4 linked regions of the Oryctolagus cuniculus genome follow. The protein of the gene in region 1 interacts with the protein of each later gene in a pairwise test. Links are inferred from orthologs where the notes say so. Each region holds a gene or a part of one and is shown in the gene's direction. Other genes may lie near its edges.

What was found. The genes of interacting proteins can lie anywhere in the genome.
Region 2: the proteins of MEOX2 (region 1) and PCSK5 interact in binary tests that used the Homo sapiens proteins (3 or more experiments, as listed by UniProt). The two-hybrid records come from large-scale screens. The link is inferred for Oryctolagus cuniculus from reciprocal best matches to the Homo sapiens genes MEOX2 and PCSK5.
Region 3: the proteins of MEOX2 (region 1) and GPATCH2L interact in binary tests that used the Homo sapiens proteins (3 or more experiments, as listed by UniProt). The two-hybrid records come from large-scale screens. The link is inferred for Oryctolagus cuniculus from reciprocal best matches to the Homo sapiens genes MEOX2 and GPATCH2L.
Region 4: the proteins of MEOX2 (region 1) and UNC45A interact in binary tests that used the Homo sapiens proteins (3 or more experiments, as listed by UniProt). The two-hybrid records come from large-scale screens. The link is inferred for Oryctolagus cuniculus from reciprocal best matches to the Homo sapiens genes MEOX2 and UNC45A.

The regions. Positions count from the first base shown.
Region 1 is NC_091447.1:7,289,576-7,293,515, reverse strand, and holds the start of MEOX2 (homeobox protein MOX-2), read left to right. Parts: upstream 1-1,140; 5' UTR 1,141-1,428; coding exon 1,429-1,942; intron 1,943-3,940. UniProt on the Homo sapiens protein: Mesodermal transcription factor that plays a key role in somitogenesis and somitogenesis and limb muscle differentiation. Required during limb development for normal appendicular muscle formation and for the normal regulation of myogenic genes.
Region 2 is NC_091432.1:154,377,776-154,381,711, reverse strand, and holds the start of PCSK5 (proprotein convertase subtilisin/kexin type 5), read left to right. Parts: upstream 1-1,136; 5' UTR 1,137-1,660; coding exon 1,661-1,852; intron 1,853-3,936. UniProt on the Homo sapiens protein: Serine endoprotease that processes various proproteins by cleavage at paired basic amino acids, recognizing the RXXX[KR]R consensus motif. Likely functions in the constitutive and regulated secretory pathways.
Region 3 is NC_091451.1:22,120,136-22,124,246, forward strand, and holds the start of GPATCH2L (G patch domain-containing protein 2-like), read left to right. Parts: upstream 1-1,311; 5' UTR 1,312-1,431; intron 1,432-3,812; 5' UTR 3,813-3,823; coding exon 3,824-4,111.
Region 4 is NC_091443.1:100,330,543-100,334,743, reverse strand, and holds the start of UNC45A (protein unc-45 homolog A), read left to right. Parts: upstream 1-1,401; 5' UTR 1,402-1,523; coding exon 1,524-1,529; intron 1,530-1,738; coding exon 1,739-1,900; intron 1,901-2,040; coding exon 2,041-2,077; intron 2,078-2,293; coding exon of another isoform or gene 2,294-2,363; coding exon 2,364-2,539; intron 2,540-4,201. Other genes in the region: protein shisa-like-1, read left to right, coding at 364-469, 592-802, 1,163-1,325.

The DNA.
Region 1 (3,940 bases):
TGGGAGCCGGCTGCCCCGCGGCCCGGTGCGCCCCCGGGACAGAGCCAGCGGCCCGCATGCGCTCAGGGACTCCAAACTTATGCTTTCCTGTTTGCGGGATGCAAACCCGAAACGCCCAAGCGCCGATGGCACGCATCAGAGTGTTCGGTTTCCCAATCAGTGGCACCATAGCGCAGTGAGGAGGAGTGTGTGGAAGGAGCTGGTTTGTGTGGGAGCGGGAGAGAGGCGGTGGGGTTCTGGAGGAAAATCAAGGGCCCTGGGTTGCCTCCTGGGGGAGGAGGGGGCGAGGCTGGGAGCACGCGTGCAAATCCGCACGTGGCATGTGACAGGGACAAACTCTCTTCAGAATCTTCCCGGCCCAGGACAGCTTGCTCTAGATGGACTGGTGGCTGGGAAATGGAGTGGGACCAGTTTCGCTGTGACGGTCAGGGGGCGGGACGCCAAGGCAGGGCACCAGTAGGCGGCTCACGTCGGGATGCCTGGGCGCGGGCTTCCGCGCACTTTCCGCCGGCTCACCGCACCCAGTCCCGGTCCATTCGGTCTCGAGCGCTGCCCACTTGCGGGTCGCGCTGCGCAACTCCGCACCTGGACCCTACCCCAGAGCCCGGTGCCCGGCCGGCGCACACACCTCGGCGGCAAAAAGCCGGGCGCGCCTTGTGCCCCGGGGCGCACGCAGCGAGCGAAGTCTGAGAAACTTCTCGCAGCGTGCGCTAGACTTGGCTCTGCTCTGCCCTTTTCAGCCGCGCTCACTCCCCCAGGGGTTGGGCGCACCCCTAAGCTTTCCTGCGGGTGACAGTTTCCAAATGGCACTGACAAGTCATGGTGCGCGGGTAGGGGCTGGGGGGTGGGTGCGGAGCCGGGACTGGCGGGATCCCGGCGCCTGGTGCGCGGCTTGCAGCCCGGGGCTGCTGGCAGGGCCGGGCGGGCGGGGACACGCGGAAGGACTGTCCAGCCGGCAGTGGGAAGCGGGGCTGGGAGCGCGGGGCGCAGACTGAGCGGGCGCGCTGGAGGAGCTCGCATGTGGTCAGCGCCAGGCTCCTAAGCCAGCCCCCGGCTCACGTTACACTCTATTTATAACCTCCCAGAGCCCTTCCTCCCCCCCCCACCCCACCCCCCAGGCGTATAGTTCTCTGGGACCACCTTCTTTTGGCTTCGACCGCTCCCACTCTTGACATCCGAGTCGCTCGGAGGGAAGCTCCTCTGGGTCCCAGTGTTTATATGTGAAGGAGACCGGCCCGAGGGTTTAGGACAGGGATTACACGAGCGCTGCCGGAAAGCCCGCGCGGCTCTGGCCTGGGGACACAGGGGCGGCGTAGGGTGCGGGGGAAGCCACACGATTGCCACGGAGAAGCGCCCGCAGGCTGGTGGTGCCAGCGTTGGTGCGGTCGTCTTGAAGTCTTCCCGCCTGGAGCCCGCGACTTGCATGCTATGGAACACCCGCTCTTTGGCTGCCTGCGCAGCCCGCACGCCACGGCGCAAGGCTTGCACCCGTTCTCTCAGTCGTCGCTCGCCCTGCACGGGAGATCCGACCACATGTCCTACCCGGAGCTCTCCACTTCGTCGTCCTCGTGCATCATCGCGGGATACCCCAACGAAGAGGGCATGTTCGCCAGCCAGCACCACCGGGGCCACCACCACCACCACCATCACCACCACCACCACCACCAGCAGCAACAGCACCAGGCGCTGCAAACCAACTGGCACCTCCCGCAGATGTCCTCCCCGCCCAGCGCGGCGCGCCACAGCCTCTGCCTGCAGCCGGACTCCGGAGGGCCCCCGGAACTGGGCAGCAGCCCGCCGGTCCTGTGCTCCAACTCCTCCAGCCTGGGCTCCAGCACCCCGACTGGGGCCGCTTGCGCGCCGGGGGACTACGGTCGTCAGACGCTGTCACCCGCGGAGGTGGAGAAGCGAAGCGGGGGCAAGAGGAAAAGCGACAGCTCAGGTAAGGTGCGCGCCAAGGACCCTCGGCCGGAGTGCAGACGCAGCTGGGTCGGGCCAGGGCGGCAGTTTGCAAGCGCTGGAGGCTGCAGCGGGGCACAGCAAAAGCTGGGGCAGTGTCCAGCCCGCGCAGGTTTGGGAGATGCGGCTGTGGTCCCAGTTACTTGGGGGGGCGAGGGGAGTGTTACCCTTGTGCGCAACCTACACGCAGCCAGCAGCGGCAGCTCTAGGCTTCCCAAGGTCCCAAACTACTTCTCCAGAAGTTTGAGACCAAAGGGGAGCGAGTGACAGTTTGTGAAATCGATTGCGCGGCGTGACGGCCGGGCGCGGCGCCGGGAGGGGCGTGCGCCTGGGGATGCGTGTCCGTGGGGCGGGCGTGCGGGTGCGGCTCCCGGACTTCTGCCTCGCATGTTCCCGACTCCGAATGGCTCGCTTTTTCCCATCGTTAACTGGCTTTCCAAATCGTTGCACAATATTTGGAACCTTGGAATGGAACTTGGCAGAGCGTATGAGAAAAAAAAAAAGTTTTAGGTTATTTATTTATTTATTCTGGATTTCAGGATTCCTTAAATAGCAACCTATTCTAAATGGTAAATGCTTCCCTTTCTTGGGAAAGGAAGATAGTGTCTAAGAAGTTTTTTTTTTTTTTTTTTTTTTTTTTTTAAGGAGCATGTCAGAAATTTTTAAACAAATAGATGACGAAAAGTATTGGAGAAAGACGATTGTTAGGAGTAGTTAGTAGTATTCGTATGATACCAATGCAAAGGGAGAATCGAAGAGGTTTCAGGGTGGAAGATCAACTCCTCTCTCAATGAGTGCAATACGACAAAAACTGGGAATCCAAGGGCAGGTCCAGTGCTGTCTGCTCAAAGTGATACGCGCAACGGGGCACCCACCAGGCGTTCGTCTGCGTGCCCGGAACCTAACAGCCCTGGGAGCGCCGGAACGCGCAGCTTGCCCGGGAAATCTAACCACAGAGGCAGGTCTGCAAAGCCCTTACCTGCCTGCATTGTGATGAAATTGTTCAGAGGATTTTTCACTGAAGGGGAGTTGTGACCCTGGGTTCCTTCGTGTTTTAGGAAGATGTCATTTGCGCAATAGAACACTTAGCGTGTGTTTCTTTTGCGAAATTGATGTCTATAGTCCCAGAAGATAATCTCAGCCGTGGGTTGAAAGAGTTGGCAGATGTCTATCTCCTGTAAAGCTTTAGGCCACATAAAGGACGCAGATGGAAATGAGCGTTGGAATTGCTTTGCAGCGATGCTACCGATCTTTCTTCAGTTTAGCCTGCGCTGGATTTCTTTCGACTTTTACTTTCCAGGGTCAGGGGTGGACCATTAATGCCCCATCACAAATTAGTTAATATCTAAGAAAGTTACTAGCGATGTCACTCATTTTTAATGGGTTTTACTAACTACAAATGAAACTCTCTTAAGACCAGTTGAAAGGTTAATCCCAGCAAGAAGGTTTTCATCTTCATTATTTAAAGATAAATAAATAAACAAGGGCCAGTTTTAGACAGCAATGGCCCTTGCACAGACTGGGCGCTGGATATCAGTGTTGGTGTGGAAGCGGTGGCAGTTCAGGCGGTTCGGGCTGATGAGAACATCCTTCTAGAACTAGAAGCTCTGAGTGAGCGGCCCTTCTCACTCTCCGCGGGAGAAGCCGGATGATGGGCTCCCTCCTCAGGCGTCCTGACTCAGCCCAGTACCCCTGAGTGTCTTAGGGCAAATCCGAATTTCATAGGGCAAGTGTGATTTTGTTTGGGACAGATAGAGAAAGTGGAATACAAGAACTGATGCCCACGAATTGTTTCAATGAAACTTAAAAAAAAAAAAAATTGGCCTCCTTTAATGCTCCTTAGCTCCTCTCTCATGGATGAGAAATTAGCCATATAACAAAGTAAAATTCATTTTTACATGTTGAAGCTGATATTTAGGGTCCATGAAAAGCAAGTTTGTGTCAGCCGCATAAAGTATTGATAGATTACAGCTTGAGTGGG
Region 2 (3,936 bases), on another chromosome or scaffold:
TGTTTGCAAGCATATTTAGATAACACAATCATTACTGGAAACGACAGACGTGATGGGTTAGACTATCAAATAGGCTTAACTAACGCTCAGGAAGAAAGAGAACAGGACATGGGAGGAAGGGGAGAAAAACAGGGGTGGGCGAGTTCAGGCTATAGTAAAGACTTTAAAGGCAAGTTGGCTTCATTCATGAGGACGATTTTTCTTTCTTTTACAGTAACTCACCGTTTGTGCATCAGCCCCATGCACAAGGCAGAGAGGCTGTACAGGAAAAGCTGGAAGAGAGTCCATCCTAGTTCCCTCCTGCCTTGTGCATGCAGTGAGCCTTGAAGGCGGCCGCATACTTCATCAGAAGTTTCTCTGTGGTCCTGTTTCTGTTAAAGCCTGTAGTGGTTACAGGGCTGTAACTGGAAAAGTTGGGAAACTTTTTCCCTTGGTGGGGAGAAAGGAGCCACGAAACAAATGAATGAAGTATTCCCTTGGCCCAACATCTCCATCCATTTTTGTACCAGATTTTCATAGAAACACCTTTCCTCAGTTCCCCGGCTGGAATTTTGCTCTCGCGTGGCTCTGCCTGCTATCGGATGCGCCGATTTCGAAAGTCAGCGGGCGCTGGACCTGGCTTTGGAGCCGTGGCGATTGGCGTTTGCCAGAGTCCACGCGATGTGCTGTCCTGGGTGGTAGTTCCTCCCAGGAGTAGAATGTGTAAAATAAACAGTTGCTGAAAAGCGTGAAGAATTAACGAAGTGAAAATCTCGGGTTATTTGTTGGGTAATTGACACGCCAGTGACCTCCTTAAATGCTTAGTTGTTTAAGGACGTTTAGGGAGAGGATGAATGAATCTTCTGGGCGCTTCACTCGCACCAGCGTGCCAATCTCGGTCTTTCGGAAACGGGCGGCGGAAGAATACAAATCCTGTAACGAAGAGAGGGGAAAAAAGGGGTTAAATCAAGACCCCGGAGCTCCCCTCCGTGTCATTTGAGAAGACTCGCTTGCCTCGGCCGCCCGGGACTCGGGAGATTACAGCGGGAGAACGCGGAGGCGCTAGGACCCGGCTGGCGCTTGGCCGCGGCCTCTCTCGAGAGGGCGGAGGAGGGGGATGTGGGAAAGGAGGGGTGTTGAAGGGGGCGGGGGGAGTCATTTATGCAGAGCAGGCGCTGCTGCCATTGCCACTCTCACTCCCCGCGCGCTGCTCGGTGCCGGAGAGAGCGCAGGGAGCCAGCCAGCGAGCGCTCGGAGCCCGGGCCAGCAGAGGGGGCGCCCGGCCGCTGGCTGCACTGCCCCCGCCGGCCGACTTCGCCGCTCTTGGGGGCCCAGGAAGGAGCAAGAGGCAGTCGGGGAGTCCCGGAGCCCGGCCGGAGAGACCCAACTGCGGAGGGCGCCCGCCCTGCGCCGGAGCCGAGGAGCGCCGGCTGACCGCCCCGCGGGCTGGAGAGCGGGGAGCTCTGGGTCTCCGCAGCCCCAGGGATGGTCTAGGAGCCGGCGAGAGGTCCGCTGCTTTGCTCCCTGTCGGCGCTCGCCGCCTCCTGCCGATCGCCTGGGGCTGCGAGCCGCGGGGCTGCGCGCCGGGGCGGCCCAGGCCGAAGTTAGTTGTGCGCGCCGCTCAGCGCGCAGAGCCAGCGAGCGAGCGAGCGAGGGAGAGAGGCAGCGAGGCGCCGGGACCATGGGCTGGGGGAACCTCTGTTGCTGCCCGGGACGACTGGACCTGCTGTGCGTGCTAGCGCTGCTCGGGGGCTGCCTGCTCCCGGTGTGCCGGACGCGCGTCTACACCAACCACTGGGCAGTCAAAATCTCCGGCGGCTTCGCGGAGGCCGACCGCATCGCCAGCAAGTACGGATTCCTCAACATAGGACAGGTAAGGAACGCCAGGCTGGCCGGGCCCTGGGTCCTGAAGCCGCTGGGTGCTCCTTGTCCCCTCGCGGCGCCCCCTCCCCCTCTTCCAGATGCTCCTGCAGCTGTTGCCGAACTCTCGGGCGATGCTCTCTTGCTCGTGCGCGCGCTCACATACACACACGCACACGGCCCGAAGTCGGCGGGGCTTGTGTTTTGTTTACTCGTGTTTGGCAAGCCACACGGGACAGGTAGGGTCTCTGGAAAAAAAAAAAAATCTGAGGTGACTCCGTGGCGGTATCAGACCTGGCGGGACCTTGTGGACTGCAAAGTCTGGTAGCGCTGGTGGCCTGAGGGAAAAGTCTCAGCGGGTGGGGTGAGCGCTTTTGAGGGGTGAGTGCGCCCTTGGCCCCGGCCGGCCAGGGACATCCTTTCCTGCTCCGACCTGAATGCTGCCCAGAAAGTAGTTTCCTCTTACCGAGCTGCGGGTCCACTGGGCGCCGGAGTCGCCGGAGCGCGGGGACTGGAGCTTTAGCGGAGGCGGGAAAAGGGGGGTCAGAGGGGGCGGGACCTGGTGCGAGCGCAGATTTGGGGGAGACCTCCCCGCTGCCGCGCCGGGCGCAGGTTCGACCCTCATGGGGGTGCTTCCGGCGGGGGCGGGGGGGCGGTGGGCAACTTACAAAGCGCGTAGACCGCGTTTTGCTCCTGGGAAAACGGGGAAGCTGCCCCCGGGCGGGACCGGCCCGGCGGGCCCGGGGCGGGCAGCAGAAGCGCGGGGTTTTTGTGGGGTGTCGCCCGCGGGCTTTCGGTAGAGTTACCGTGCTGAAGGGAAATGCCAGCTCACTGAGGGGATGCTGTGGGGTGATTTAGAGGTAGGACGGGTAAAGGGACTTGGCTGCCACGTTCTCTTCTCCCCAGCACCCCAGTCTCCCCCCACGTCCGTATGAGAAATGGGGGTGGAGAAGGCTGTGGAACTGTGTCCCAGAAAGCGCCCTTGCCTCCAGGGAGCTCCCCCCGGGCTGGCCGAGGAAGGGACCTTGGCCAAGCTTCAGCGAGATTCTGCCGGGGTGGGCGAAGAGGGTGAAGGGGGCGCCCTTTCCTCAAGGGACACGCACCCTGTGTGTGTGCTCTGCCAGCCAAAGCCGAGAGGAAGGAGCCAGCCGGTGCCTCTGGGGCAGGAGAGCACGGGTGGTGTCTGATGCTCTGACGCTCCCAATCCAGGAACTCGGGGAGCCCTGGGCGTTGCGGGGTGGGGGTGGGGGGCGAGGGGAGCAGCGCCCGGAGAGCTGCTGTCGCCGCGGTTAGGAGGAGCTAGGGAGCGCGGGAAGGTTCAGGTGAGCGGCAGCGCTAGGTCTCGCTCGCAGCCCGCACAGAGAAGGGAGGGCGCACTCCAGAGAAGCCGATTTTGTTGGAGCAGGAAGACAGGGGCCAGGGGCACGGAATGGATACTCTGCGGGCTACACGTCCGCCGCGGCTCCTCCCCTCCCCCGCCCTCGAGGAAGTTGCGGGACCCGCCAGATTTTGTTGCCCGCGCGCCTGTCATCTGCACACGGCTTGTTAGGCTTCTGCTGGCTTCCTTCCTTGTCTCTTGGAGAAAAACCCCGGGTCCGTTGCGGTCTTTTGATTTGGACTTAAGAGTTGAGCGCTGCACCCATCTCGGGAATGTAACCAGGAAGGCTGGCCCTGAAAGTACAGTAGTGGGGGAAATCTTCCCAGAGACTCACATCCCACATTCTTCAACAACTCCCCTATGCCAGGCAAATTTGGAAGGAGTTCCTTGAAGATATGCCTCTTTCTTAATTGCCAAACGACCCTGGCCTGTGACTTACCGCGGGACAAGAAATCAAGGCTCTTGGGGGTTGAACTCCAACAGGGCCGCCCAGAGAGACAGTGGCAAAGCCTTGATTCAGTTCTTAGGCTCTCTGTGTGAGGGTTTTCTAGGGAATCTTCGTTTCCTAAGACTCTTGATTTAATAGCTCCTGCAGCCATGATTCCTAATTGGCAGATACTTAGTTCAATCAAACCTGGACTGCATGGCCCTAGGGTGCTTTCAGGACCTGCAGTGGCAGAAGCTCCTATATCTTTCTGTATTCACTGAGTACAACTTAA
Region 3 (4,111 bases), on another chromosome or scaffold:
ACAATTTCCCTTATGTCAACATTTCACTTTAGTATAGCACTCTTGTCACACTTAATTAACCAATAACCAATATCGACATAGAATTATTCACTGAAGCCCAGCCTCAATTCAAATTTCTGTAGTTTTTGCCCAGCATCCTTTAACTACTTCAGGTCCCACCCAAGATATCGCATCACATTGTCACAGGATTTTTTTTTTTTAAGATTTTATTTATTTATTTGAGTGCTAGTTACAGACAGTGAGAGGGAGAGACAGAGAGAAAGGTCTTCCATCCGCTGGTTCACTCCCCATATGGGGCCAACGGCTGGAGCTGTGCCAATCCAAAGCCAGGAGCCAGGAGCTTCCTCTGGGTCTCCCATATCGGTGCAGGGGATCAAGGACTCGGGCCATCTTCTACTGCTTTCCCAGGCCACAGCAGAGAGCTGGCTCAGAAGAGCAGCCGGGACTCGAACTGGCACCCATATGGGAGGCCGGTGCTTCAGGCCAGGGCTTTAAACCCGCTGCGCCACAGCGCTGGCCCCTGGCGCAGGTCTTTAGGCTCCTCTTAGCTGTGACAGCTTCCCACGGCTTTCTTTCTCTTCCGTGACAGGCCAGGCAGTCTGTAGACTGTCCCTCGCCTGAGGGTTGTTTTTGGTTTTCTGATTCCCCCTGTGACTAGGTTGGCATCATAGGTTGTGGAAGGGAAGTGTGGATCTCTTCCGCAGTCCACATCCTATCCACGTGACTTCTCAGAGCTGGTGCCGAGGGAGGGTCTGTCAGGTTCCCCCACTGTGAGGGTACTCATTCTCCCCCTTTCCACACTGTTGTCTTTGGAAGAAATCCCTGTGCACAGACTCTGTAAGTTGGGGGTGAGGCTTCCGGGTGCGGCATCTCCACAGACTATGCAGGATTCTTCTGTGGGAGACCCTTCCTCGCCACTCACTCACTCCTCCAGTCATCTAGAGTATGAGCCCACGACTACTTCTTTCCTTCCAACAGTCATAACATTTCACCTGTTTAGTTTCCCAAGGCAGGTGTATTTTTAATGCTTTGAGTAACTCAATGCAAAAACTACTCCTTTTGGGCAGTACCAACACTCAAAGAATCAAGATCCAGTTCTCAGCTTCGCAGCGCCCAACTTCCTGACGCCCCCAAGGGAGGGGAGGACCGCGCTCGGGGTCTCCTGGGCTCGGAGACCCTACTAGTGCCGCTATTCCTCGCCCTTCCCGGCGTCCCAGCTGCTCCGTGGCCCCGCCCACGGTGGGGCGGAAGTGGGCGCGGCCTCAGGGCGGAAGCGCCGGGTCGGGCGGGCCCTCCCGCGCAGCCAGCGCCTTCCACCCCGCCGCCGCCCCACCCCTCCGGCCCAGACCGGAAATGAGATCAGAGAGGGAAACCCTGGCGGGGAGACTCGGCCCAAAAAGCGGTGGCCATTGGAGGCGGCTGCGGCAGCCGGTGAGGGGGAGGAGCGGGAGGAGAGGGTCGGGGTCCAGGGGGCCAACGCCAGAGGGGATCGGGGCTGGAGTCTGAAAGGTTCAGGGCGTTCTGGGGCTGCAGCGGCCGGAGGCTGGGGCTAGGGTGGCGGGGCCTTGCTCTTCAGGGCCCAGGGCCCCCATCCCTGATGATGAGCAGCGGGCCACCCCCGGGGCGACCGCCGCCTCCTCTCCCCGCTGCTGTCTGCCTCCCTTGGCGGCAGCGTGGGCGCGCGGTGCCCTGAGCTGTGATCGCCCTCGCCCTCAGCGACTGGCCGGGGCGTGGTGAGGGTCCCTGGAAACACGATTGTCCTCACCTGTGTGGCAGCGTTGCGCCCCCGATCGCGGAGGGCGCTCGGTCGCCACGACTTGCTCTTTGGCAGCTGAGCCCCCGCCCCTGGTGAGCCCCCGCTCGCCGCACCCGGGTCCTGCGCCCAGCGCCCGCCGCGCCTCCTCGCTGTCCCCCCCACTCCTCCCCGCTTCCGCCGCTTCCCCGGGCGTGACTCACACAGCCTCACCCTCTAGTGGGCTGCGTGCTGCACCGGTGCCTGGCGTGCGGGCGCCCCAGGGTCCTCCCCTCACCCCCTGCTTGGATCGCAGCCTTGGAGGCAGGAGAGGATGCTGTGCCGGCAGGCACTGGACTGGCGGGTGTTTGGTGACTTGGTTCCACGTGCAAGTTTGTGCAGTTCTGCCTGCCCGAGTTCTAAAGCAGGCGTTCTTTATGGGGGCGGTGGGCTTAGGCGTTCTCTGCCCAGCGGCTTCTTGCGGTTGCAGGGGTGCGTTGCCTCTCCTCCTCCCGTCACCTGTTACTGCTCTGGAGGATGTGGGCTTGTGATGCGTGTGGCTTTGGGACTCGCTGGTGGTTTTGGACCTCGGTGTTGCCTTTGCTCTCACAGAGGTGGCACCTCCGCTTTCCTGCCTTGGAGCGCAGAGGCCAGGGGAAAGGGTTTTAGAGAGCCTTGTGCAAGATACCAGCTTCGAGAGGGGAAACGCAGGCTGCCCGCGACGCCGCAGGGTTAAGCCCCAAGTAGGGTCTTTGGGCTTAACGAGGGTTAGGGGAAAGGTGCTAATTTAATGTATATTTAATTAGGTGTTGCACAGATTATATTAGACATTTCCCTTTAAAAGAAGAGTTTTGGAAAATTGTTTGTGTTCCCTGTGGTGTCTCAGGTGACTCAGGAAGTGTGAGAGTTTGGTGAGCATGAGTAGCAAAATTGGAACTTGGGAAAGGAGTTAGCCAGAAAGTTCAGCGATTCTCAGCCCTGTCATTTCAGCATAGTTGTACTCTGGTTTTGCAAGGCGGTGCGGCACCAAAACACATACTTAGGATGATCACTTGTTTTCTGAAGGCTGGGGTGAGCAGCTTAAACGTTGCCAGTTACTCAGACACACGTGACATGTCCAGTGCAGTTCCAGACCTAGTAGCTTCCAGGTTGCCCGCGGTACCAGGTCAGGATGGATGAAGCTTGGTCTCTTGCCCATTCTGAGTACAAACTCGGGTCCCTAAAACCGCAAGCCGCCGTTGCCCCCAAGTTGCCTTGCCCTTCCCTGCCCTGTGCGTTCTCAGCAGGGACCCAGACCGCAGGATGGCCCTTCAGCCGTTCTCCCCCCGGGAGACTGGATTCTGCCCTGTGTTTGCCCAGCTCAGCAGCTGTGTGATTTTCTGTCTGATGAGGCATTATCAGATAATTCAGTGACAAGTTTGGGGGAAAATAGGCCCGATCTATTCTGAGTTTATTTGCCTGGTTTTGTTAAGATTCCAGTTGACATCTGATGAGCGTTTGAGCTTTTGTGCTTAACAACTCCTGACTTCAGCCCTTTCACAAGGGCTAAATACGGGCATTTAACACGGACTGGATACCTGTTTTAGTGACTTAAGGGAACATGGGTGGTTTGAAAGATAAGTGTAGCCAGGGGGCCAGCGCCGCGGCTCAATAGGCTAATCCTCCGCCTGCAGCGCTGGCACACTGGGTTCTAGTCCCGCTCGGGGCGCCGGATTCTGTCCCGGTTGCCCCTCTTCCAGGCCAGCTCTCTGCTGTGGCCAGGGAGTGCAGTGGAGGATGGCCCAAGTACTTGGGCCCTGCACCGGCATGGGAGACCAGGAGAAGCACCTGGCTTCTGGCATCGGATCAGCGCGGTGCACCGGCCGCAGCGGCCATTGGAGGGTGAACCAATGGCAAAGAAAGACCTTTCTCTCTGTCTCTCTCTCACTGTCCACTCTGCCTGTCAAAAAAAAAAAAAAAAAAGTGTAGCCAGGGGACTTTATATTTTCTGTAGGATTCTGCAGTTCTGCCATCTGTCTTAAAAAATTACTTGAACACAGTGGACCCGAGTCAGGCTTTTTTTTTGAACTTCCTTTTGCAGATGTGGCCCTCATGGATGAGCTGGTACATGACTTAGCCTCCGCCTTAGAGCAGACCTCTGAGCAGAATAAGCTTGGCGAGCTGTGGGAGGAGATGGCCCTGAGCCCGCGGCAGCAGAGGCGGCAGCTCCGGAGGCGCCGGGGCCGGAAGCGCCGGTCTGACTTCACGCACCTGGCGGAGCACGCCTGCTGCTTCAGCGAGGCCTCCGAGTCGAGCCTGGATGAGGCCATCAAGGACTGTCGAGAAGTGGCCCCGGTCACCACTTTCAGCGACTCTGATGACACCACGGTGGCCAAACGG
Region 4 (4,201 bases), on another chromosome or scaffold:
GGCTGAAAGAGAGGGGTGAGAACTCCCAGGGCTTCCACGGGCAGCCAGGGAGCTGCAGAACAGGTGGCAAGGAGCTCACCCAGCTCCTGGTGCCTGTCCTGGGGGCTCACGGCCCCACTTCTCGCTCACCCTCCATTCCGGGCCGGTCCCCCTTGCGCCCAGAAAACCTCAGGCGCGAATTCCACCGAGAGACACAAACCCGGTCCCTTTCATCTCTCTCCAGAAGCCTGGGACAGGGCAGCTCCAGCAGGGTTGTGGGCCCACGGCCTGGCGGCTTTGATCTTGTATTCTGTCTGCAACCGCGGCCACGCCGAGGAGATGCTGGGGTTCCTAGCACCAGGGCGGAGGCCGAGGTGACCTCTCATGGGCTTCCAGAAAAGGGGGCCCGGCCCCTCGCCCACAGGCCTGTGGGTGGGGCTACTGCTGCTCCTGGGTCCGGGGTCCCGTGCTCGGCCCACCTCTCTCTCAGGTACTGCGCTTCCCGGGCGTTTTGCGGGCTGCTGGGGGCGGAGGGGAGGAGAAGGGAGCCTGCTTTTCTGGCGTGGGCAGGCCCCTCCCGCTGGCCTCCAGCCCCCGTGCCTCTCTCCTCAGCTTTGGCCCACCACCCCCACTTGTGCCAGACCAGCCCGGACGCCGACGGCCGCCTCCACCGGGGTTTCTTCTGCCCTCGGCTCTCCGACGCCCCGGAGGAGGCCTACTGCTGCCACCTGCGGGCTGCCGAGGGCTCCTGCTGCACGCGGGCAGAATTCGAGGCCCTACACCGAGTCAACCTGTCCGCCCTTCCGCCCCCGCCCATCCTCAGGTGCGGACCCCAACCCGGAGCCACCGACCAGGGGTTCTAGGATCCGGGGCTCTGTTCCCAGGTTCCGGGGTGGAGTGGGGTGGCGAGTTTGCAGTTTGCGGATTAGCGCGGGGACAATGAGCGAAGTCCCGTCAATCATGACACACACTTCTGCAATGGAAAAGTGCCGGGGGCTGCGGGAAGTGGGCACCCACCCTGAGTCAAGGGGTGTGTCGTGAGGCAGAGGGGGTCGGGGCGGCTCAGAAGGGCCTGTCGCGCGTGGATTACACCCAGGATGCCAGTGTCCATCCAAATGTGTGCGCCAATGAGTACGTGAAGATCTACATTTCTCTGCTGCTAACACTCTCTCCTCTCCCATAGGGGCCCGGGCCCGCTCCTAGCGCTGGGCCTCTACAGCCTGCTGCTGGTGGCCCTAATGACCACAGACCTGGTGCACTTCTGCCGTGGCCGGAGCCCGCGCCGGGGCCGCCGCGCACCTCCCTCTAGGTCCTCGGCGGCTCGCCCCCTACGGGTCTCCGCGTGAACACGCAAGGCACGCCTGGGGCCCTCTCTGCGCCTGCGCACGGAGAGCCCCGCCCCGCCTGGGCAGCACGTCCTCTCCGTGGCTCCGCCCCTTCCCTGACACAGCGCTGGGCGGGGCCTCTCGCGACGGCTTCCGGAGCCTAGACACACCCCCGCCCCAGAGACTGCGGCTGCGCGGGGAAGGGACATCGGCTCTGCGATGACTGTGAGTGGTCCAGGCACCCCCACCCCGAGCCCCGGCCCGCCGTCCCGGGGTACGAGGCTCTTCCCGCACCTCCGCGCCCCTTCCCTGACCATACCCTGGCCACCGCCTCCCGCGTTCCTGGCTCTGCACGGCGCTCGCCCGCGGGCCGCGCTCCCCGCTCCCTCTCCCCCGAGCCCACCGCGACGCGGCCCGCCGCCCCCTCCCCACAGGCCAGCTCGGCGGAGCAGCTGCGGAAGCAGGGCAACGAGCTGTTCAAATGCGGAGACTACGAGGGCGCCCTGGCGGCCTACACCCAGGCCCTGGGTCTGGGCGCGACGCCGCAGGACCAGGCCGTCCTGCACCGGAACCTGGCCGCCTGCCACCTCAGGCTGGTGAGGAGCCCCAGCCTGGCCACCCCGCTTTGTCACATGTCTGGGGGGCCGCGGAATGGATGGGAGGGGCGTGGGTGACTGCCACGCGGCCGGTCCCCGGGAGGGGGGGACCCTCCGCTCAGGCACCTGCTCTCTCACAGGAGGACTATGACAAAGCCGAAGCCGAGGCATCGAAAGGTAGGCGAGCGCCGGCTCGTGACACGGGCGACAATCCTGGGGCCACTGCATCACCACCGCGTCTGCTGCTGTGACCCCCTAGCTCGCCTGCCTCCTCCCTTCGCACTTGCTGGGGCCTGCCCTTTTCACAGCTACCTGTACCTTGTCTGGGGCTGGAGTACCGAGCCCCACCTCTGTCTCCCACCCCCACCCCCACCCCTTCCTCTGGCCCTCCAGAGCTTTCTCTCCTGCTCTCGCCCGGACACGGTGGCCTCACGGGTGCTGACAAGCTCCTGTTTGTGCTCAGCCATCGAAAAGGACGGCGGGGACATCAAAGCGCTCTACCGGCGGAGCCAAGCCCTGGAGAAGCTGGGCCGCCTGGACCAGGCCGTGCTGGACCTGCAGAGATGCGTGAGCCTGGAGCCCAAGAACAGAATCTTCCAGGAGGCCCTGCGGAACATCGCGGGCCAGATCCAGGAGAAGGTATGGGGGATCCGGGCACCGAGCGGTGGTGCCGGGTGGTGGTGCGGGGGTAGGCACAGCTCCCTGGGTGTGGGCGCGCAGGATGGTGCCCGGCGAAGAGCAAACTACAGGTGCAGCCTGGTGCTGGTAGTTGTCACCGCTTAAGTGGTGAGATTGGGGGGCAGGGCTCGTGTGACTGCTGGCGGGGGTGGAAATTGGTACAACGTCTGGAAGTGTTAAATGCTCATAATCTGTAATCTACTATATTTACCCCCCCCTTTGGTACGTTTTATTTATTTATTTATTTATTTGAAAGGCAGAGTGACAGAGAAGGGGAGAGATGGAGAGAGAACGCTTCCATCTGCTGGTTCACGCCCTAAATGCCCGCAACAGCTGGGGTTGGGCCAGGCTGAAGCCAGGAGCCCCGAACTCCAGCCAGGTCTCCCACGGGAGTTCAGGGACCCTAGCACTTGGGCTGGCTGCCGCTGCCTCCCCAGGCGTGAGTGTTAGCAGGAAGCTGGATTGGAAGCAGACTAGACAAGACAGACCAGGCACTCTGATATGGATGTGGGTGTCTAAGCTGCAGCTTCACCTGCCCACCACAGACACCTACCCCAGTGTGTTCACTTCTTGCTGTTTTCCCTGGAGCAGGGGCGAGGGAACCTTTTGTCTGCCAAGGGCCGTTTGGATCTGTCCACCGTCATTATGGGCCATAGAAAATGATGGACTTAAAAAGCAGCCTGCTGTAGTTTGCGGAATTTTGAGTCTCTTCGGTGGTTGCCTTGGCCAGAACAAATGATTTCGCAGCCTTATATGGCTCAGACACTGAACGTTCCCCACCCCTGCCCTAGAGAGGCCTTGCCTGCGTGCACGAGTTTGTACGCGTGTGTTTATTGCAGCCTTGTTTCTAGTAAGGAAAACTTGGAACTCGCCTAAATGCCTGGCAGGAGGGGAATGGCTAAATACCAGGGTGATGTCGTCACTGCAGACTCCCGTGTTGTGGTTACTCAGAACAGGCGGATCGGAGGCAATGGGAGAGCCGGCCAATGAGGAAAGACTGCTCAGTAACACACAGTGTGTTAAAATGGTCCCCCACACCGAAAACTGCTTTACCCTGGGGGGTGGGCGTCCAAAGGAAAGGACGAGTATATCAAAATGGTAACACTGTGACCTCTGGGGAAGGAAGGGGAGTGAGTGGAGTCCCTGCGTCATCCCTTAACTGTTTTAAATTTGAGAGGCAGAGATGGGTTCCTGTCTGCTGGTTCACTCCCCAAGTGCCCACAACAGCCAGAGGTAGACCAGGCTGAAGTGGGAGTCTAGGTCCCCCACGTGGGTGGTGGTGAGCCAGTTATTTGAGTGGTTACCAGTGTCTGGCAGGAAGCTGGAATTGGGAGCGGAGCCAGGACTTGATAAGGGCCCAGGTGTACTGAGGACAAATGCCTGCCCGTCAGTATTTCTCAAAGAAGGAACGGTGTGTGGTACACGTGTTTCAAAGCTAGTGGAAACAGAATCTAACGATCGCCATGAGCTACCGCCAAGCCTGTGTCAAGCAGCTACTTTGGTGTTAAAGTGGGCGTTGGTGCTAGCAGTTAAGAGGCAGCTTGGATGCCTGCGTCCCGTATTGGAGTGCCTGGGTGCACACCCCAGCTCCACTCCTGTTTTTGGCTTCCTGCTAACGCGCAT